Linked DNA regions of Xenopus tropicalis. The protein of the gene in region 1 binds, or shares a complex with, the protein of each later gene. Links are inferred from orthologs where the notes say so. Each region holds a gene or a part of one and is shown on either strand. Other genes may lie near its edges. The genes, in order: robo3 and nell1.

What was found.
Region 2: the proteins of robo3 (region 1) and nell1 are in contact, whole or in part, in a crystal structure (PDB 6POL), measured with the Homo sapiens proteins. The link is inferred for Xenopus tropicalis from reciprocal best matches to the Homo sapiens genes ROBO3 and NELL1. Residues at the interface, in NP_071765.2 of Homo sapiens: Ser553, Pro555, Val590, Glu592, Phe594, Pro596, Asn600, Thr601, Trp602, Thr604, Ile624, Leu626, Arg630, Gly633, Ala634, Trp635, Gly636, Leu637, Ser638, Glu639, Pro646, Val647, Arg648; in NP_006148.2 of Homo sapiens: Ala440, Lys441, Met442, His443, Tyr444, His446, Tyr458, Arg468, Val469, Asp470, Asp471, Phe472, Ser473, Asp478, Ile492, Cys493, Thr494, Asn495, Thr503, Cys504, Lys505, Pro506.

The regions. Positions count from the first base shown.
Region 1 is NC_030683.2:75,090,548-75,102,243, reverse strand, and holds part of robo3 (roundabout homolog 3), read left to right. Parts: intron 1-214; coding exon 215-336; intron 337-1,957; coding exon 1,958-2,174; intron 2,175-4,757; coding exon 4,758-4,882; intron 4,883-5,660; coding exon 5,661-5,832; intron 5,833-6,103; coding exon 6,104-6,292; intron 6,293-7,048; coding exon 7,049-7,072; intron 7,073-7,166; coding exon 7,167-7,203; intron 7,204-7,656; coding exon 7,657-7,805; intron 7,806-8,178; coding exon 8,179-8,454; intron 8,455-8,725; coding exon 8,726-8,864; intron 8,865-9,273; coding exon 9,274-9,498; intron 9,499-10,065; coding exon 10,066-10,241; intron 10,242-11,295; coding exon 11,296-11,400; intron 11,401-11,696. UniProt on the Homo sapiens protein: Receptor involved in axon guidance during development. Acts as a multifunctional regulator of pathfinding that simultaneously mediates NELL2 repulsion, inhibits SLIT repulsion, and facilitates Netrin-1/NTN1 attraction.
Region 2 is NC_030680.2:4,706,610-4,718,887, reverse strand, and holds the start of nell1 (protein kinase C-binding protein NELL1), read right to left. Parts: upstream 7,018-12,278; 5' UTR 6,918-7,017; coding exon 6,869-6,917; intron 1-6,868. UniProt on the Homo sapiens protein: Plays a role in the control of cell growth and differentiation. Promotes osteoblast cell differentiation and terminal mineralization.

The DNA.
Region 1 (11,696 bases):
AACTTCAGCTTAAAGTTTGGCACTTATTGCACATATTGTCATGCATTCTTTATTAAAAACAACCGTACTCCCCTCTGAACTGGAGGCCCCCAGAGCTGAAGAACAGATAAGAGATGAATGTGGGTCAAGCACTGGTGGACTCAAAGAAAACTGAACTTTAGTATAATTGGCATGCATGCTATGTTAATAAACTCTTTTATGCCCATCATTTCAGATGTCAGTCCAACGAGACAAGGTGTTGATCATAGGCAAGTGCAGCGCCAACTAGGGGAAGTGGTGGTTCAGCTTCAACAACCGATTATTCTTACATCCTCTACTGTGCAAGTTACATGGACAGTAAGTTGTGTTTAAATATTTAAGTGAATTTCAATACTGTATCATTGCATTTCTTCTACAGCTCAGTAATTAAGATGTGAACCCCTCCTTTTAATTTCTCACACATTTCAAATTTAATTTATCATTTAGACTTAGAAACATCCAGAAGGTTTAATTCAGATTTAAAATACTGTGGGTTGAATTATAAATGATTATGAGTTACTATAGATTGTTATGCATCTTGAATAGCAAGGAGGAATAAGTCAATATGTAATTATATCCAACAAGATTTTTAGTTTCAGATAAATTATATACAATTTATTATGTAGAATTTAATTGAGTTTATTTTATTATGTCTTATTTCTTAACATTAATTGATATTGTGTTGTAGTAGGGAACCAGCAATATTCCTTTGTGTTCTAAAAAAAATATTTTTTTGGTCGCTACTGTTGCTGCTAGAGACAATGTTATTTACCATTATGTTATCATAGCCTTCTCTCCATTACTATGTTATATTTTTTTATTTTTCATTATAAGTGGCACGTTTTTTGCATTTGTATCCCTGATTTTAAAATTACACAAAAGATGTTAATTGATTTTCTGTGCCTGTTAATGTAGAATTCTAAGCAAAAGACATTTTAATGGGATATTTTAAATTAATATAGTAAAATTATATTGGTTGCCGTGGGAAACTGGTACTTCTATCCTTGTTGCTTTTGGCAACCAAGTTTAGCCAATCAGAGAGCAAATGCCAAGGAATAATGTAACATCCCCCCTCTCACATTAAATAAAGAATTAATTGAATTAGATACTGTATCTAGCTTTTTTCTGAGCCCCACAAAAATGTAGCTTCTGATTACCAATACCCCTCAAAAGTATGTGTTTGAGTAGTAATTAATCTTCGATAATACAATTATACATTGCTGTCTATATATATATCAAACTCAACAGTAGAAAGCACTCACAGCTACAGCATCAATCAGGTCAGTGATTTATTTCAGCATACCATCATATATAGTATGCTGACTATATATATATATATATATAGTAAATGATAATGAGTAGCTCCTACATTGCAGAATAAACGAATTATAAGCCTATAAAATCTTCATCCACTCTCTGACATTTAATCGCTTCTCATTTTGGTTGTCAGAATGGTCTTTAACATTTCCCGCTTAATTTAGAGAACATTAGTTAAAATGCTTTAATTTACAATGGTTTGTAACCACTTACAATGTTTTAATTGAAATTAGCCAAATTCTAGTTAATTATTGCTCCATCTAATACTGACCTTTCCCTTGAAATTATTCATGTTATAAGAAAATCAGATAAGCTAGGAGATTTGTAGCATTTATATTAATCTTGCTTTGGATTTATTATTCTCTGTCAGAGGGGAACCATTCTTTTTAATGCCCTCTAGAAATAAGTAAGGGGTCCTACCTGAGTTAAGCTGGTTGATTTCTGGTTTGGAAACACAAAATTTTGGTTGTATTGCAGCTTCAATTAACTTCTCTACCTCTTTTAGGCTGGTAGTATAGCCTAGGGCAATGGGAAGCTCTATGTTATTATCAACACAAATGGCAAAAAAAGAAATGTATCTGTCCATATATTTTTTGTAATTACATGTGGTCTCCTCTTTCAGGTGGATCGGCAAGCTCAGTTCATCCAAGGTTACCGGGTGATGTATCGTCCAAAATCTAGTGTTTGGCTTGTACAGGATGTGAAGTCTCCCTCTGAACGGAATACTATCCTTGTGGACCTCAAAAAAGGCACAGAATATGAAATCAAGATCCGTCCTTATTTTGATGAATTTCAAGGCATGGACAGTGATGTGCTTTTGATCCGTACACCTGAAGAAGGTAAAATGCCTAGCAAGGAATATTAATACAAAATGTATATGTGTGTATATAAAATGTAGAAATGTACAATGACTCCTTGACTCTTTTTCCTTTGATCATTAATAAAGAGTCAAATGGGAATGTAAAAGCCTTGCTCAGTGAAAACATTTGTATTTCCATATAAGAAAATTTGCTACTTTACCTGATAATTATGAGATGAGGCCTTCAAAACTAATATGCTGGCAATTAGTGGATGGTAGACATTCTGTTACTGGAATTTTGTGAAATATATGTGCATTTAGCAATTAAGTGTTGTGGAATATTACAAAGGGCTTGCTTTTATAGAAACCATTATTCATGAGGCATGCAGTTTTATAAAGCCACAAAGAATGCAGGAGAGGATGTAGTCTGTATAATCCATTCTTAAGTAACAAGCAGCCTGGCGAATGTGTCAAAGATTACAATGAAACGACTTGATGGTTGGAAAGATTATGCTGCTGAGAGACTGTAGGAAGAAGGCAAGATAAAACATTTTACCTTTAGGAATAGAACTTGTCACTGCAATATATAAAATTTATATTGTTTACTTTTAATCAGATGTTAAATTACCTGAGCCAGCATAATATTTCCTTTCTCTATACTTCCTATACACTGTTTTTATCTTTTGATGATTTTGAGTCAGTTGAATGTCACATTGCTGCACATCAAAACACAGATTTACCTGAATTCTCTTTTTCTGTAAAATAAATTAAATCCTTCTTACTACTATGTCAGAAATCTTGCCTGTATAAAAAATCAGATTATTGCATTTGGGCTGTCAAAATTACAAAGCAATGAAATATCAGTAAAGTAAGTTCTTCAAAAAAAAATAAATAAAAAAAATTGCCCCTTTTCCAATCACAAGAAGAAGCCAGGTTTACACAGAGTAGCCAGGACAGTCTGAAGAGAACCTGTTACTTTTATGAGCAAGGGAAAGTCTAACTGAACAATTTTGCATTAAGAATCCATCCAAGATGTAGCTGGGCTGTAACCTCTTGGATAACATTTTAATGTGAGTAGTTAACCTTTGCACACCTTTTGATGAAGTATCCAACTTTTAAATGTTAATAAAGTTTGCACACTGTATTATAAAAACATTGTAATTCAACTATGATTTTTTTCAGTGAGCATAAAATATTTATCAGCATAGAATATAAAAATAAATATAAAAAAACAGGTTGTAAACAGGTCAATCTAGTTAATCCAAGCTGTGTATTTTTAGTGCAACATGCAAAGTTGAAAGAACAGGCTTAATATATAACAAGAATGTAAGAACAGAATCTGTGTGTTAATTTACATTTCTTTTCAGAGATATGTGGTTAGTGCCAACATTCTTTCTATGAATATATTTGGGGATGCATTTAATGGGGTCCTTCTGCTGCAATTGCCAATGAAAAACACTATATTTGCTCTGTTGTAATGGAAAATCTATAGTAATTGCTTTCAGTTTGACAGGTTTGGGTGAGAAGAATTTCTGAGCTCAATCAGTGAAGCAAAGTGACTTGCTTAAATGTCCCTAGATGATTGAAATTTAGAGCTCTGTATTATTTTCAGATACGATATGACACTTTCCCCATGACTTACACTTGCTTAACTATATCTTAGGTGTCTTTTGTGCCATGCACCTTTGCAATTACATATGAAAGGCATAAATATCCAATATAGTCCCTTACATCCACTGTGATGTAATTAGTCCTACCCTGTATTGATACACACATATATATATATATATACAGCCACATTGCGATCCGCACTCCGAACTCTCCATTAATTTCTCTGTAATTATTGCCCGGGTGCAACCAGGGAAATATTACACAATTCGAGACACATCGTAGGCGCACTCCAGGGTCTTTTTCATTAAAGTTCAGTCTTTATTTTCACATTGCCATCCGATCAACGTTTTGGCTCTGGCCTAGAGCCTTTCTTAAGATTCAAATTTTTAAAAATGATAAAACATTACCTCGTATTTGATCCCAACTAAGATATAATTACTCCTTCTTGGGGGCAAAATCCTATTGTGTTTATTTAATGTTAAAATTATTTTTATTGACTTATAGTATGGAGATCTAAATTACAGAAAAACCCCAGGTCCTGAGCATTCTGGATAATAGGTCTCATACCTGTATATATACACTAATATAAGTATTAGCATGTATATATTCTAGTATATAAAAATTCTTGGAAAGGTTCACTGCAGTATCTTTCAATAGGCCTATATGTCAGCATAATTAGACTCAAGCCTTGTATCAGAAATGTTTAGTTCTAATAAGCTTTAAACATATATTTATGAATGTTGGAAGTGCTTATTTTATAAAACAATTAGTATGTCAATTTAAGTGATAGTATACATAGGATACAATGGCATCATTTCATACTTGCACTACAAAAACAAAAGCTTTTTTACGAGACCCACTGTGTGACATAGCTCTTAATAAACATTTATAACAGTGCTTCTTTTACTTTGCCTTGAATGAACAAATCAAGATATTTCTCTGCATATATTACACAGTACTTGTATATTGCTTTTCCTTTATTAATTAACATGTTTTGTTGATTTTCAAACAGTGCCAAGTGCCCCGCCTCAAGCAGTATCAGTTGTTACATTAGGAACGAATAACAGCACAAATATTAGTATATCGTGGGAACCTCCTATAGTGGAACATCAAAATGGAATTATTCAAGATTATCGGGTAAAATAATTTAAAATTTTTACAAGCTTAAAGTTTTGGACAGGGCTGTGGAGATAGTAGATAAATTCTCCGACTCTGACTCCTCAGTTTCTGATACTTCCGACTCCACGACTCCGACTCCTCTGTTTTTAATATGCTAATGTATTTAGTGAAGCATACAGTCAATGCTTCATGGTCACTCAATGTGTTCGTTTATGCACTGCGTGCATTGGGCTTTATTCTTATAGCAGAGAAGTAATTAATTATGACTGTTTGTGAATTGGGACATTTAAACTTGCTTTTTTTTTTTATTCCCATTTAAATTTAGTAGGAGTCGGAGTCGGTTCATTTTTTGCCGACTCCAGGTACCAAAAATTGCCCTCGACTCCGACTCCACAGCCCTGGTTTTGGACATTGATTTAATGCTTCCAATAATTTAATTGTAGGAGAGTTTATTGTTTTATTGTCTTATAATGTTGATTGAAAAATGTTGATTCTGCCTGCTTGGAATATATTCTCAGTTTCTAGAGACACCCGCCTCTAAAAGTAAAATGTTTATATGATGTCTTCAAATTGTGTTAGACTAGTAAAGGTTTTATTCATGGTGGTCCGGATGTCAAACTGTATTCAAATGACTGAATAATATAAATGATGGTAATCAAATAAATACAGCATATGCTTTTAATATACTAACTCTAATATGTTGTGCATTTAAACAGTTTATGTCAGAGAGTGAAATTGTTTAAATGCAATAGTAGCTAATATTAATCAATATTAATCTTATTTTTTTCATCTTAAGATTTGGGTCTTGGGAAATGAAACACGCTATCATATCAACAGAACAGTAGATGGTACTGTCCACTCCACTGTAATAAGAGGCCTTAGTCCTGGAGTTCTTTACCATGTGGAAGTGGCTGCTGCAACAAGTGCTGGTTTTGGTGTAAAAAGCCAACCAATCACCATCCAGATAAGTGAGTGAGAACAAACAGATTTGCTTTTTTTCATTTGGAATGTATAGACAGCATTCATATTTTCATTTAAATGTAATTTAACTTAATGGTAACTCATGTTGTAAAACCAAAATTAACTCATTTGTAGCTTTATCAAAGAAATATTAAGTGATTAAATACAGATGAAAATATTAATAGCACACTTGCTAACAAGATAAATATAGAAATGTCTAATTAATGTCCCATAGTTTATTTGCAAGCATATTTATCAAACATTTTCACCCTATTTCAGAGCCTTCTTCAGATCAAGTTCCAGTTGCCAGTGGAGAAAATGTCAGCTTGACTGAACAAATCACAGATGTTGTTAAACAGCCTGCATTCATAGCTGGCATTGGAGGGGCATGCTGGGTAATTCTAATGTGCTTTAGTGTCTGGATCTACTGCCGAAGGAAGAAGAGGAAAGAACTGAGCCATTATACTGGTAAGAAAAAAAATACCTTCAACAAACACAAACACCTTCCTTTGGAAAGCCTATTTGGAAAGGTCTTTTAATGCTGTATTCCATCAAAGCTAAATTTTTTTAAATTAAATATATATATTTTATATATATATATTTATTTATATTTACCATAAATTTATCAAGGCACATTTTGGTGGGTGACATAACTTGGGAGTCGACAGTACATACTTCAATAATATCTACACAATAAACTCTTTCCGTCCCACCCATTGCTTCATAGTACCCCACCTTCTCCATAAGGGTATTGCTTCTCCTCTTGTCCATCCACCTACACCACAATGCTTCTCCTCAACTCCTTTTTCAATACTGCTGTTGTCCCAGCATACCCCATTGCACACAAAAAAAAACAGAGCATAACTTAATGTAAGTATAAACTACACAGTTTCTGCTTAGTGGGATTTATAATTATAAAAAAACTGTCATATAAGTAAAAATGTATTGAAATTAAAATTTCTACAGAAAATACATATACTTATGGAGACAATATTTAATCTCCAGTTGATACCTCCTTATTCAAATATTTAAAGAAGTGATTGTATTTGAACTTTAATAAGTATACTATTTTAGAGAAATCCTAAAGAATTAAAATAAGCACAGCTTTATAAATTACAGAAAATATTTTGCTTTTATATTTTAGTAGGGGGCATGGCTAATTGTATGAACCCTTTTAAAATGTAATTTTATAACTAACATTTTTTTTTGTATTTTAATTTTTAGCTTCCTTTGCATACACACCAGCAGGTAATATTTTAATTTCAGCTACTTATTAGATGGAAGTTAATTTTTAATAATGTTACAAAAGTAACCTTTGATTTTTTTTTGTTCCTTTTCTCAGTATCTTTTCCAGAAAGCTCAGGGCATATTACTGCAAGGTAAGAGGAACATATTAAGCTGTTTGCTCAGGCCTTAAAACATTATTCATAGGTGCCCCTGTTGAAGGGAAGATCAAAGATTTTCAGCACTTGTTACAGAACTGTGCATCCCAGCATTCCTTTAACAGCTCCACATATTCATTATTATATAGTATATAGAGCATGTGGACCATGAAATGTTGCCCCTATATGTCCTGTAGTAAGTTTATACTTTTCTTAATTATGTTTTAGCTACATATCCATATACAGTAACTGAAAGTTGATGAGCACATGATGCTCATTCCACATGGAATGGTAGCTTCTTTAACAGCACTTACTGTTCCACCCATTACTTTTTTAAGAAAGATTTGCATTGCTTGAGTTTTGTACCAGAATAATATTGAAAATCTGGGTTAACAATTAGGTCTCGAGCTTTAAGTAATATTAATGTGACTTGTTTCATTTCCCATACAGACCAGGAATGCTAGCTACAAGTGCATCCAACTACCCTTGGCTAGCAGATTCATGGCCAGCAACCAACTTACTACGAAACGGAAAGCCAAAAGAACCTGCAGGGAATTGTTGTCCAGGAAATCACAATCCTTCAGAGAGATATTATAATGGTAAAGCGATACATTTTTATGCACCTCATTACTTCCTGATAGGAACAAAGTTATTCATCCAGTTACAGAGTTTAGGTGTGGAGCAAATCTTTCATAATATAAATATTTTACTTTCTTTAAGAAATTATTCTTTGAAACAAGAAGCTCTGCAGAATATATTTAGTTTTAACTATGTAAAGTCCATTTGGGATTGATCTTGTCCTCAATCCAAAGTTGCTGCTTAGGACACCTCTAAAATCACAATTGTCTATTTAACAATGTATTTATTATAAAAGTTTAGTATCCAAATATTTTGTAAAAGTATTTTAAGAAATAATCTGTGTATTACTAGTTTTCCATGTTAATGCTTGTGTTGTGGATTTGGTTTGAATAGATGCTGGCATTTCAAACTATATTGCTCAGACTGAGAAGTTCGGAACAGGTGTTTCAGATGGTCCCATATACAGTACAATTGATCCAACCACTGATGACATGCGAACTTTTAATGGAGCTTTCTCTCAGCATACTACACCTTATGCAACAACACCTGTTGTACCGTATGGAGGACAAAACATGCATTCTCCTGAATTAGAAGAGAACCAGTGGAATGTACAGGCTGGAACATCTGGTGTACTTTATGCACAACCAGATCGAACTAAAGCAGAGAATGGTACTTACATTTTATTTGTAAACCTTTATATAAAACAGTTAAAAACAGTCATTAATTTTCCTTAGGTATGTTGATTGCATCTCGTTAGAGTGAATAGGACTTTTAAAAGATATTATTTTTAAATAAAATACAAATTACTTTATGTTATAATTGCATTCCTAAAGTTATGTTTCTTTGCTTTAAATTATGAAATGTATCAGATATTTAGCTAGCATCAGGCCCAACATAATATTTCATCGTTATATAGCTATATGCATGTTGGCCTTTTCAGGTCCCAAATCTGGAAAGCAGAAGGCCATTGGAAAACCAGTAAAAACACCATCACTAAATTGGACAGAAATTCTTCCACCACCCCCGCCTGCCAATGAGCTGAGTCAATACCAAGAAGAAGATACAGATGTAGAGATGAGGTATGGATGACCATGAGTAATCCAGTTAGTATCTGGAAATCTGAACTGTTGTCATGCAAGTCATACTTTTTGTTGACATATTGTATGGTTATTTATTAGACACATTAATGTTCTCTCAAGCATTACATATTTATTGATAACTTTTCCAGCAAGCACATTGCTAAGGCAGGTGGATCTTTCACTTGGACCCTTCCTTTACATTGCTGTCCTTCGCTGTCAATGTATAGCTGTCCTTCACTTGCAGTGTATAGCTGTGTATAGAAGAATTTTAAGTATTAAAGAAGGGCCAGCTATGATGCAAGCTGCTATAAGTAAATATTTAAATAATTTAATTCCAAAGCTGTAGCATTGTTACTGCTGGTGTCCTGTGCATCCAAACCATTATTAAACCTTTATTGGTATATTATAGCTCCGACACAGAAGAATGGTGTCCACCATTGCCTGAAAGAACTTACCTCATGGAAAACATTCAAGAAGGCTGCCCACTTCCTCCACCTCGGGGTGAGGCTTCTTCTCCTGCTCATTCTTACGGTCAGCAGTCAACAGCCACTCTAACACCATCTCCCCAGGATGAGATGCATGCTGCAGAAGATATTCCAAGGCTACATCAGTTTGAGATACCCCCTCATCCTAGGTTAGAAAGCTTAGTCTGATTTTATATTTATATATAAACAACTAGAAAACATTTTGCTTTTGCATCACTGATTATTATTCTATGATATAGGTGGGTTAATTAACAGACTTTGTGCAGACATGTTTTTAAAGCTTCGACCAATTCTTGACTATGCTACTTTAGATTTTCACTATTTTACATCCCAATATATAGGATTTGTGTATTGAACCAAATAGTTGCCACAAAAACTGGTGCTATTATGTAAATAGGCACACACTGTGTATAACTGCATTACCCATAGCAAAAATCATAGTAAATAAATGTTACCGCTGTATTTTAAAACTGTAATTACAAAATGGAAAATATATATAATTTTACATGTTGTCCCTGTTTGGTGGCTTCCATTTACAGCTCCAGTTATTCTGGGCATACCCCCAGTTATACCATACATATTAATATAAAAGATGCACAGTCAGTTTATTTAAGGGATAAACATTTAAAGTTTATTGTTTGTGATAGGGCTATAATGTTACATAGGTACACCTAATATTGATTCACTTATTCAATCTTGTTTGTTCAAATTATTAGACGACTGCCATCTGGATCGGTACCAATTCCAAGAGCTCCAAGTCCTCCTCTGACACAATCAAATCCTAGTCTTCATACAGCAACGGAAGGTGCAGAAGCACAACGGCAGGGACACAGGCGGAACTTAAGCCAAAATCCTAATCTAAGTGCTGAAAATGTCAACTTGCCAAACAGCGGTAAGTAGAGACATAAATGTATAAATAATTACATATATACACATCAGTGTAGAGGAGTCATAACTCCTGTGCGCACACATGCTTAGAAGTCCAGGTTTCCCAATCAGCCACCATTTTATGCTCCTGTCAAAGAACAGTTATAAACAAAGGAAGTAAATTAACCCATTTTTACTAACAAACAGTGGTCTTGTGTCCCTCCTTTTTAACTTTTCATTAGAAAAAAACTTGTTGTTTTGAGATAAGTATCTGTCCTTTCACCCTATATTTCTAGGATATCATCCAGTTATCAAGTATATTCTGCAATGTTGTGGTTAAATTTGTGTTTCAGGAACCAATCCTACTTTTCTGCACTTTAGTATATTAATTTTCAGTTTTTTTCCATATATTTAATTCCTTCACCAGCTACACCGGTAGTGTTTATTTGGAAAATGCAGGTCCTTGTGCTCTATTGTGGAGTGAAAGGACTTCGGCATGTAGGCATCATGGCAGGGCATGGTGGCTGGGAATTCTGTGATTAGGATTTTTTTGCCTTTAGTAAGATTATCTTATTGTTACATACTTCAGTAACAAATGCATCAGTCTTCTTTTGATCATATTAGTGGATCATTAAGGATTTTCTTGTAATTCCTTAAAATATTTAGCTGTCTGTTGGGTTCTTTCAGATGCACTAGTGTCTTCCCTCCCCTACCCCCATTTCTGCCTTTTTTATCTGGACTGTTATCCAAATCCTTTTTTTTCTGCCCAAAACAAGTTGTAGTATTGCACTTACGCCTTCATCGTGCTGATAGTTTATTTGTGGTCTTAGTGGATGTGTAAATTAACAAAAGTCTACTTGCCAGGCTACAAAGCCACTTAATACTGTACACAATCATTGCAATTAAAAACTTTGAAATCCAGAGGTTTATTTAAATGTTAAATACTTTTGACGAAGTATATCACATATACTGTGATAATAGATTATTGCAATAGGTAACTCACTGTTTAATAAGTGGTCCTAAAACATATACTTGCCTTTTATTGTTGATTTAATGTTATGTAATGCAAATCCTTTCAGGAAAGTCACAACTAGGAGAAAATATAAGCACACCTCCAGGACAGAAATCGCGAGCAAAGAAGAAGTCAAAATCAGGTCACTATCGCAGGGAAGCAAAACAAGGAGGTTAGTACCATATTGCAGTGAATGTTTGCTTGATACATCTTACAGTGTTTTTGAACCCAAAGTGGCTGCAAATTTTGCAATACACTAAGTACCCTACACAATAAAAAGGCCTAAAAAAATGCATAACATTTAACAATAATAATTAAGATAATATAAACTGTTGGTTAAGTATTCATTCTGGTGGTGTAGTTTGCCTTTAAAGGAACAGTAACACCAAAAAATGAAAGTGTATAAAATTAACTAAAATATAACGTGCTGCTGCCCTGCACTGGTAAAAGTTGTGTGTTTACTTCAGA
Region 2 (12,278 bases), on another chromosome or scaffold:
AAAACAGAGCAGCCGGCATAGGTAGGAAGAGCGTGAAAAGCTCAGAGAGACATGGCAGATGCATCTCTATGAGTAGGGCAAGATAGTTACAGCGGGGCTTCCATAATGAAACCCTAGGGCAAGTGGGACAGTAGGGCAAGATGGAGACAGTAGGGCAAGTGGGACAGTAGGGCAAGATGGAGACAGTAGGACAAGATGGAGACAGTAGGGCAAGATGGAGACAGTAGGACAAGATGGGGACAGTAGGGCAAGATGGAGACAGCAGGGCAAGTGGGACACTAGGGCAAGATGGAGACAGTAGGGCAAGATGGAGACAGTAGGGCAAGATGGAGACAGCAGGGCAAGTGGGACAGTAGGGCAAGATGGAGACAGTAGGACAAGATGGAGACAGTAGGGCAAGATGGAGACAGTAGGACAAGATGGGGACAGTAGGGCAAGATGGAGACAGCAGGGCAAGTGGGACAGTAGGGCAAGATGGAGACAGTAGGGCAAGATGGAGACAGCAGGGCAAGTGGGACAGTAGGGCAAGATGGAGACAGTAGGGCAAGTGGGACAGTAGGGCAAGATGGAGACAGTAGGGCAAGATGGAGACAGTAGGGCAAGATGGAGACAGCAGGGCAAGTGGGACAGTAGGGCAAGTGGGACAGTAGGGCAAGATGGAGACAGTAGGGCAAGATGGAGACAGTAGGGCAAGATGGAGACAGTAGGGCAAGTGGGACAGTAGGGCAAGATTGAGACAGTAAGGCAAGATTGAGACAGTAGGGCAAGTGGGACAGTAGGGCAAGATGGAGACAGTAGGGCAAGATGGAGACAGTAGGACAAGAAGGAGACAGTAGGACAAGATGGAGACAGTAGGGCAAGTGGGGCAGTAGGGCAAGATAGAGACAGTAGGGCAAGATTGAGACATCAGGGCAAAATTGAGACAGTAGGGCAAGTTGGTTACAGCAGGGCTTCTATAATGAATTCCTAGGGCAGGTGGGGCAGTAGGGCAAGTGGGACAGTAGGGCAAGATGGTTACAGCAGGGCTTCCATTATGAAACCCTAGGGCAATTGGGACAGTAGAATAAGACTGAGACAGTAAGGCAAAATGAAGAGGGTATGGCAAGAGGGCAATTCAGTAAAATGAAGACAATAGGGCAAAACCGATGCCCTGGGGCATTATGGAGACAGATGGAAAACAACAGAGACAGCAGGACAAGAAGGGCCCAGGTGAGCAAGAGTGAGACACCAGGAGATGATAGAGACAGCTGGTTAGACAGTTCTGACTGGGTTCTAGGCCCCCGCACCAGTAAAGAGGCCTTGGCACTACATGAAAGTGCTTGCAAGCGGCACATATACCCAGTGAGGTATTTATAGTGAATATTAATCCCTGTGTCAGATGAAGGGTTCGGAAGGATTGCCAACATTCATATTCCGAGAGGAGAATTCCTGCTTGGCCGACGCACGGCATTAAATATGAACAAGGCGCCGCTTCCCTGTAACGCGCAGGATGACACAGTTTCGCTCGAGAGCTGCTCTCGATTACGGGGCGAACGCCTGAAAATAGGAACAATGTCATTTCAGGGGCATTAAAATTCATGAGACCCAGAAAATATCAACAAACCAATCTCACTCCACAAATGAAATAATCAAAGAGATAATTCTGGGGGGAGATGTCCCTTTTTGTCTTTTTGTTTTTGCATTTTACATTTAGATTTCAACCTTAATTGTATTTGTCACCCAGTGGTGCCCACCTAGCGATACCATTATAACTTATTATATTATCCCTTATAATACATGAGTGATACTCAGAGTTCCCTGTATAACTCAGCCTGCAGCCTTGTGCCTTTATATGGGGGGCACAGAACCCCTCAGTGACTGCTAATATCCTTATCATTTACAGTAGGGGGTACATTATCCCTTATAATACATGAGTGATACTCAGAGTTCCCTGTATAACTCAGCCTGCAGCCTTGTGCCTTTATATGGGGGGCACAGAACCCCTCAGTGACTGCTAATATCCTTATCATTTACAGTAGGGGGTACATTATCCCTTATAATACATGAGTGATACTCAGAGTTCCCTGTATAACTCAGCCTGCAGCCTTGTGCCTTTATATGGGGGGCACAAAACCCCTCAGTGACTGCTAATATCCTTATCATTTACAGTAGGGGGTACATTATCCCTTATAATACATGAGTGATACTCAGAGTTCCCTGTATAACTCAGCCTGCAGCCTTGTGCCTTTATATGGGGGGCACAGAACCCCTCAGTGACTGCTAATATCCTTATCATTTACAGTAGGGGGTACATTATCCCTTATAATACATGAGTGATACTCAGAGTTCCCTGTATAACTCAGCCTGCAGCCTTGTGCCTTTATATGGGGGGCACAGAACCCCTCAGTGACTGCTAATATCCTTATCATTTACAGTAGGGGGTACATTATCCCTTATAATACATGAGTGATACTCAGAGTTCCCTGTATAACTCAGCCTGCAGCCTTGTGCCTTTATATGGGGGGCACAGAACCCCTCAGTGACTGCTAATATCCTTATCATTTACAGTAGGGGGTACATTATCCCTTATAATACATGAGTGATACTCAGAGTTCCCTGTATAACTCAGCCTGCAGCCTTGTGCCTTTATATGGGGGGCACAGAACCCCTCAGTGACTGCTAATATCCTTATCATTTACAGTAGGGGGTACATTATCCCTTATAATACATGAGTGATACTCAGAGTTCCCTGTATAACTCAGCCTGCAGCCTTGTGCCTTTATATGGGGGGCACAGAACCCCTCAGTGACTGCTAATATCCTTATCATTTACAGTAGGGGGTACAGTATCCCTTATAATACATGAGTGATACTCAGAGTTCTCTGTATAACTCAGCCTGCAGCCTTGTGCCTTTATATGGGGGGCACAGAACCCCTCAGTGACTGCTAATATCCTTATCATTTACAGTAGGGGGTACAGTATCCCTTATAATACATGAGTGATACTCAGAGTTCCCTGTATAACTCAGCCTGCAGCCTTGTGCCTTTATATGGGCACAGAACCCCTCAGTGACTTCTAATATCCTTATAATATACAGTAGGGGGGCAATGTATTTGCTATGTGTTTTAGGTGTGGATTTGTTTGTACCTAACAAAGCCAATATTAAATATTTAACTAGCACATCAATATATATGAGTGGAATAGGCATCACTCTGTTCATTGCAACCGGCAGAGTAGGAGGCAAATCTAAAAGAACCTCTGATTCTTGGCTCTTGCTGGGAGATGCAGTTTAGCAATCACAAACACAGATGGGGGTTCACCCCGGTGATAACCCCCCGTATGATGTAATTCGGCAGTCACGTCACGCTGCTAATCGAGCTCTGTGAATATATATCTACAAGCCCCCAGAGTGAAATTGCATTAAATATTAATGGCGAGTGACTCTCCCTTGTTGGACCCTCCGTGGCTAATCACAAAAATTGCTGGGGAAGGGGGGATTCTATGGAGGGTGGGAGTCGGCCGAGCATGATAGCCTCAAAGACTGGGGAAGAAAACGAGGCCTGCGGCTGTCTGGCAGCACCCACCTCCTTAGCTCTCAAGCAGGGGGTAAAAATAAAAAAAATTGCCACCTTTTAACCCCTTCATGGAATCCCAGGGACGGGCAGCGGCCGGCGACAAGGCTCACACTCTTTCATGCAGAGAAGGAAAGAAAGCGCCAGTTCCTGAAGCCTCACAATATATAAATATATATATATATATAAGTATAAAGGGAAAATGTCTGGGATAAAGGGAAATAGCGATACAAGGAGGCCACCCACAGATAGATGCGATTAATGCTGTTATTTCAGCAAATCTGGTTAGCAAGTTGCAATTCCTTTTGACAGGCAGGCTGTACGACTAGGGGGCTTGGGGGGGGGGTTTGTTTGTAATCCGCTTAGCCAACATTAACCCCTTGGCTGCTGCGCCAGGAGGAAAGTTCCCTCAGCCGCAGAAGTTCAGCAAACGATTATATTCCGAGAAAAAGCAGCGAAGAGAATGTCATGTATAAAACAACAGTTTTTATTCCCCCCAATACAATGGAATTCTACTGCGCCGGGAAAGTGAACCCTGATGTCCCTGTTATTTAATGAGCTCCATAGGCGACATGCAAGCTGTAGGGTAATATAGGGTTCCATACACATTGGGGTGTAGCCTGAGCACCCCAAGATTCCTGAACTGTCTTCCCTTTCCATAGTCACCCCAATATTTCTTCTACAAACACAGGCTGGACTTACTACTGTCTGCAATGCAGAAACCCCACTAATCTCTCCCCAGATTTCCATGTAAGGACGGACCCAATTAATAAATCATCTGACCCATTCGATAACATGATTCCTCTGCAGAGCGCCAGTTTAGAATGGTTCTGATTCAGACCTAACTTGCAGTTCAGACATCAAAATGCCCCCCTCTTGCCCCTAGACACCCAAGTGGGAAAGGTCCCAATACCGAATCACCCGGTCCGAGTATCTAGGTCTCTATCTACAAATATCCGGGTCAGAATGGCCCCAGTATTGAAACATCTGCTCCGATCAGCACCCCCGACACTCCAATGTCACATATACCCACATACAGGGGAGAAAGTTCCCAATAATGAATCATTTGGTCCAATATGCACCCCAAAACCACACTGTGGTCCCAGCAAAGAAAGGTCCCCAATAGTGAGTCTTCTGGCACAATCTGCAGGTAAGAATGGCCTGGTCCTAAGTCCCCCAGTAGCCCAGTCACCCCCAGTGTCCTCTCCAGGGCTGACTGGTCCTGATGTGGAGATGTTCTGTAGTCCAAGCAGATCTAGGCTGCCGGGTCGGAATGGTCCTGATGCCAAGTCTCCCTGTAGAGACCCAAATATTTCTTCTCTAGACATTGTCCATGTATGGAGCCACCTGGCCCCAAGTTAACCCCATTCACCCCCAGGTAAAGCCCAGTAGACCCCGGATACCATTTGCTAGGAAGCTGCCCTATCACAGCGCCAGTGACATTTCAGCAGAATCCCAGTAAAGATTATGGGCATGTGGCGGGCAGGCTGCCCCTGCAGTGCCTCATTACACCGCTCTGCTGAGTGACAGGCTCTGGGTGGAATATATTACAGATGGAGAGACCTGGGCACCTTTCATTGCAGTGTTAGGGATCTGGCGGGCTTGGGCTGAGAATGGGGGGCAATTAGTAAGTGCTAATAGTCCGTACAGCTGGCACTGGGAGAGATCAGACCCAGGGTCTTGTTTATTAACAAAGCGAGGCTGGGCTTGTCTGTACCCACTGGCACTGTCGGTGCCCACTGAGCCCTCAGCCGGAGCTATAATACCCCATACACAGTGCCAGCCCTATTCTACATATATTCCCCCTGTGCCAAGCGGCAACACTTTCCATGCTCACTTGAATGCAATCAACAGCTGTGCCAGGATCCCGGCAATATTTACTCGCCCGCCTCTGTCTCCCAGTGTGGTGCCACGCACAGTGCCACCCAGTACAGCTTGGTGTTGCATCTGTGTCCCCTTACCCTGTGCCACCCAGTACAGCTTGGTGTTGCATCTGTGTCCCCTTACCCTGTGCCACCCAGTACAGCTTGGTGTTGCATCTGTGTCCCCTTACCCTGTGCCACCCTGCACCCACAAATAATCCCACATTGTTCTACAGCCCCTGCACATTCTGTCACCCCGGGATAACACTTAATCACACATTGCTACAGCGAGTAGCCCCCCCAACGCCAGCTAATCACTCAGTGACAGAACAACCAGCCTCAAACCACCACATAATTACACATTGCCACAAAATAACCCACAATACCACCCAAATCTGATTGTTAATCTCAATACCACCTAAAGACATATTGACATAACAATTAACCCCCAGGTACCACCTAGCCACCAACAGTTAGCCCAGTTAGCCCCATGTGCCACCCCAGTTACTGTACTAAACCCCCCAATCATACACAGTTCCGGTTCCCTCCACTGCCCCCAGAACACTATGTAGCCAATAAACAGTATTAGAGCAATTAAACCCCCAATCACCCAATAAATGCTGATATAACACACAGATACCTCCCATTCAAGCACTGATAGAACAATTCATCACAAAATACCCTTCTGTACCCCCCCCCCCCCCATTGCCCCTGCTATAGCACCCATAACTCCCCAATGTGCGGATCTCAATCCATATTACAGCACCCACCTCCCAATCCCACCGATAACTCCCTGCTGCGCCTTCCAGCCCCCTACCTGCCCTCAGTCACAGCCCATCGCCCAATTGTGTAGCCCAACACTGCCCAGAGCCATAGCACCCATCAACCCTACTACATCTGCTGTACCCCCAAATGCCCACAGCCATAGCACCCATCAACCCTACTACATCTGCTGTACCCCCAAATGCCCACAGCCATGGCACCCATCAACCCTACTACATCTGCTGTACCCCCAAATGCCCACAGCCATAGCACCCATCAACCCAACTACATCTGCTGTACCCCCAAATGCCCACAGCCATAGCACCCATCAACCCTACTACATCTGCTGTACCCCCAAATGCCCACAGCCATAGCACCCATCAACCCTACTACATCTGCTGTACCCCCAAATGCCCACAGCCATAGCACCCATCAACCCTACTACATCTGCTGTACCCCCAAATACCCACTCCCCTATACCCATCAACCCTACTACATCACCCACTGCCATCTGCTGTACCCCCAAATACCCACTCCCCAATACCCAGCAACCGCACTACCCATTGCCCTCCGCTATAGCATCACTCGCTGTTATACCCCCACCTATAGTTACACCCTGTGCCAGTCTGTACCCTCAACCGGAGCCGCCGACCCCATGTGTCCCCCCAGAGGCCCCCGACCCCTGCCCCTTACCTGCTCTGGCAGTCAGTACCCAAGCCCACACAGCCAGCATTCCATCCATTGGCGCAGTGAGCGGAGAAGGAGCCCCAATAATCCCCCGGCAGCCGCTAAACTTCCCGGTTCCCCCGCACAAGCCTCACTGACACACGGACAGCTTCCCCGGCTGGGAGAGTCTGCCGACCGTACCACTCCAGTGCAGCGGGGGGGGCTCAGCCAGACCGAAGCCAATCGCACAGTCCCTTCCCCAGCGATGGAAACACCCAGTTCTACATACAAGCTCCCTGCCGTATGGCCCCCCGATTCCTTAGCGACTGTGAGGTGAAAGGGAAGGATTTATTACAGACGGACCGTTTCTGCATCCATCACCCCCCTGCCCGGCAGGAATGGTTTAGCCCCAAGCTCCAAACTCCTACTGATGTTTAACATTAAGAAATGTGCGGGCTGAGCGCTCAGGGCAGGCAAGGGTTAATCAGTCAGACATTGTGCCAGGTGAGTACTGAGGGGAGGCAGACATTGTGCCAGGTGAGTACTGAGGGGAGGCAGACATTGTGCCAGGTGAGTACTGAGGGGAGGCAGACATTGTGCCAGGTGAGTACTGAGGGGAGGCAGACATTGTGCCAGGTGAGTACTGAGGGGAGGCAGGGGTTAATCAGTCAGACATTGTGCCAGGTGAGTACTGAGGGGAGGCAGGGGTTAATCAGTCAGACATTGTGCCAGGTGAGTACTGAGGGGAGGCAGGGGTTAAAAGCAGTACAAAAAGGGCAGAGTGAGTACTCAGCACAGATGGGGGGGGGGTTAAACAGTCAGACTATGGGGAGTAGCCAGGGCAGGCAAGAGTTAAGTTGTTACACAATGTGAAAGGTGAATACTCAGGGCACAAAGGGGTTAATCAGTCAGACAGTTTGCAAGTTGAGTACTCTGGGCAGACAGGGGTTAATCAGTCACACAATGTGTAGGGTGAGCCACCAGGGCAGGCAAGAGTTAAACTGGTGCCACATAATGGGCAAGGGGAGTACTCTGGGCAGAGAAGGGTTAAGGACTTGGGGTCATTATGGCTATGGGATACCTGAGGGGTTAATATGAGAGACAGGGTTCCTAAAGTGTTTATAGGTTGGCACTGAATTGGGGTGACAGTGAGAGACTGAGGGGGGAGACAGGGCCCAGGGCAGGATGAGGTTAAACACAATGTGCCAAGATCCAGTTTAAGCCTCTAACGTTTCACATGATCCTACAAAAAGTCTCATTTTATTTAACAAAATCCCACTTTTTTTTTTTACTCTACAAAGCAATAGACCCACAGGAGGCAGTTAATGAGTGGCAGGTAATGAGTGGCAGTTAATAAGTGGCAGTTAATGAATGGTGCTGAATGGACAGCTCCGGGCTCAGGCCCAGGATACAGTCTGTACCCTCAGAACCACCAGCTAAACAATAGGGACAGTGTTACACCCTAATATCTAAAGCAATGATAAGAAGAGAGGGGCGGAGCCAAGAGTCAGGATGAGATAAATATGACTGGGGGGGCGACAATATTATGAAAGAGATCCAATGAAGCAGGCCCGGACTGGCAATCTGTGGGTTCTGGCAAATGCCAAAAAAAGCTTTTTTTAAATCCCAGTGCCGGCCTGCAGTAAAGGAATGTTCTGGGCACACAATAAGCTGTACCCCCATACTGTACTGTCTAAGGGAAACACTATGGCACCCCCTACCCATATGTATAAATACAAATATACAGAGAAGGAATGTTCTGGGCACACAATAAGCTGTACCCCCATACTGTACTGTCTAAGGGAAACACTATGGCACCCCCTACCCATATGTATAAATACAAATATACAGAGAAGGAATGTTCTGGGCACACAATAAGCTGTACCCCCATACTGTACTGTCTAAGGGAAACACTATGGCACCCCCTACCCATATGTATAAATACAAATATACAGAGAAGGAATGTTCTGGGCACACAATAAGCTGTACCCCCATACTGTACTGTCTAAGGGAAACACTATGGCACCCCCTACCCGTATGTATAAATACAAATATACAGAGAAGGAATGTTCTGGGCACACAATAAGCTGTACCCCCATACTGTACTGTCTAAGGGAAACACTATGGCACCTCCTACCCATATGTATAAATACAAATATACAGAGAAGGAATGTTCTGGGCACACAATAAGCTGTACCCCCATACTGTACTGTCTAAGGGAAACACTATGGCACCTCCTACCCATATGTATAAATACAAATATACAGAGAAGGAATGTTCTGGGCACACAATAAGCTGTACCCCCATACTGTACTGTCTAAGGGAAACACTATGGCACCCCCTACCCATATGTATAAATACAAATATACAGAGAAGGAATGTTCTGGGCACACAATAAGCTGTACCCCCATACTGTACTGTCTAAGGGAAACACTATGGCACCTCCAACCCATATGTATAAATACAAATATACAGATGGGGGGGTAGGACGCCGCCCTGGGGGGCTGTGGGCTGAACGTGGCTCCTTTCTCTCACTCGGCCCCTAGGGCAGCAATTGTTGCTGAAATGAGAAGTTGTCGCCGCTCCGGGAGAGGTTTGATTGCAGAGCAATTGCTGGGAAAGTGCAATCAGCGCTTCTTTCAAACCACCGTCGGGGTCGCACTAGTGGGGTTGATAATAAAATTGGATAATGTTGCCCTTTTCATAGTCTCGTAAGACAAACTGGGGGGATTGAAGGAACAGACACAGATGGATGTTTCTTGCAAAACTGTTGAATATTTACTTGTAGAGGAAGTTTTAGTCCCTTTGTGTCCCAAATACATTTGGGCCCAACAACAGAGGGTAAAAATGGAAAGTTACCAATACAAATGGGGATCCAGTAGATTCAGTAACACTGGGAAGAGACAGTTCTGTAGGAAAATATTTCTAATATAGGAAAATCGAGTACTTCAAGAACCAATGAAGGGCCTGACACCATCTTGCTTTATTATCGGCATCGTTCCCTACTGCCTTCATTTTGCCCTTTTGTCTTCAAATTGTACTTCCACCATGTCTATTGTCCCCATCTTGTCCTACTGGTCCTACTGTCCCCATCTTTTCCTACTGTCTCCATCTTTTCCTACTGTCTCCATCTTCTCCTACTGTCTCCATCTTGTCCTACTGTCTCCATCTTCTCCTACTGTCTCCATCTTGTCCTACTGTCTCCATCTTGCCCTACTGTCTCCATCTTGTCCTACTGTCTCCATCTTGTCCTACTGTCTCCATCTTGTCCTACTGTCTCCATCTTGTCCTACTGTCCCCATCTTCTCCTACTGTCTCCATCTTGTCCTACTGTCCCCATCTTCTCCTACTGTCTCCATCTTGTCCTACTGTCCCCATCTTCTCCTACTGTCTCCATCTAGTCCTACTGTCTCCATCTTGTCCTACTGTCTCCATCTTGCCCTACTGTCCCCATCTTCTCCTACTGTCTCCATCTTGTCCTACTGTCCCCATCTTGTCCTACTGTCTCCATCTTGCCCTACTGTCCCCATCTTGTCCTACTGTCTCCATCTTGTCCTACTGTCTCCATCTTGCCCTACTGTCCCCATCTTGTCCTACTGTCTCCATCTTGCCCTACTGTCTCCATCTTGTCTTACTGTCTCCATCTTGTCCTAGTGTCTCCATCTTGCCCTACTGTCCCCATCTTTTCCTACTGTCTCCATCTTGCCCTACTGTCCCCATCTTGTCCTACTGTCTCCATCTTGCCCTACTGTCCCCATCTTGTCCTACTGTCTCCATCTTGTCCTACTGTCCCCATCTTGTCCTACTGTCTCCATCTTGCCCTACTGTCTCCATCTTGCTTTTCTGTTTCCATCATGTCCTACTATCCCTATTGTTTCTTACTGTCCCAATCTTTCCCTACTGTCACCATGTTTCCCTACTGTCTCCATCTAGTCCTACTGTCTCCATCTTGCTCTGATGTCTCCATCTTGTCCTACTGTCTCCATCTTGTCCTACTGTCCCCATCTTGTCCTACTGTCTCCATCTTGCCCTACTGTCTCCATCTTGCTTTTCTGTTTCCATCATGTCCTACTATCCCTATTGTTTCTTACTGTCCCAATCTTTCCCTACTGTCACCATGTTTCCCTACTGTCTCCATCTAGTCCTACTGTCTCCATCTTGCTCTGATGTCCCCATCTTGCCCTACTGTCTCCATCTTGCCCTACTGTCTCCATCTTGCCCTACTGTCTCCATCTTGCCCTACTGTCTCCATCTTGCCCTACTGTCTCCATCTTGCTCTGATGTCTCCATCTTGTCCTACTGTCACCATGTTTCCCTACTGTCTCCATCTTGCCCTACTATCTCCAAGTTGTTCTACAGTCTCCATCTTGCTCTTATTGTCACATCTCACCTTACTTTCTCCAACTTGTCCTTCTCTCCCCATGTTACCATGCTGTTTCCATGTTGCCCTACTTACTATACTCTTTGTTCTCCAGTTATCCTACTGGCAACTACTTCTCTTTGCCTTTATCTGCAGAGCCCGGGGCTAATGCCTCTGTGTGCATCTGACTAGAGACAGCTCGGAGTTGAATTAATATTCAGTACAGGATTCCCTAGCAAAGTGCTTTGTTTATGTACATATATTAGTTTATGTCCATTAAGGTTGAACTTGACGCATGTCATTTTTCAGCCTAACTTACTACGTTACTATGTAATTAGACAAACTATGGGGGGGTCATCCCTTGGCTCTGTGTGATATGCAATTACAAACCTGCAAAACAATAAAAGGGCAATATGTTTAATTATGTGTATGTATCAATAAATGGGGGTTACCATATTGCTTAGTCTGGTGAAAAAAGCGAAAGCTCTTTCTGAAATTCCAAAGCATCCGGCGCCCCCTAGTGGCCCAGCGCCTGCCAGCTATCCATCCTTTCCCCCATCCCTTGGTTTTTCCGTTTAGTAGACACATGTCACGGGAGGCACAAAGGACGATCTTTTCCTAAGGAGACTTCTCTGGTTTTCTCGAGCTCGGGAGAAGCCTTTCCCGACATCAGGACAATGACAAGGAGATTTTATCTGCAAAGAAGAAAGAGCCCATCTCCAAGACAACAGATTCATTCTGCCCATATTTAGTAATTATTTTATTAGTGTATTGACATCACCGGCGCCGCTCGCTGATAGGTGCCCTGAGAGGCCTCTGTTTGCTCCCCGCGCTCTTCCAATCTTTTATTTATGAACATGTCCTGCAGCGATGTACATTGTGCCGGGCTCATATGGAGACGTGACAGGTTTTCTTTCTAAGTTCCCCAGAAACCATTATATACGGCCAAGTACAACTTCACTCCATTCCTCTATTTCTGCCTCTTACATCAGCCGCCTCCTGAGAATTTACCCGAAACCATTGGTGTCGTGCCAGATTTAGGGCTAGATATCACCCTGAGGGTAATAAAAGTTCTCT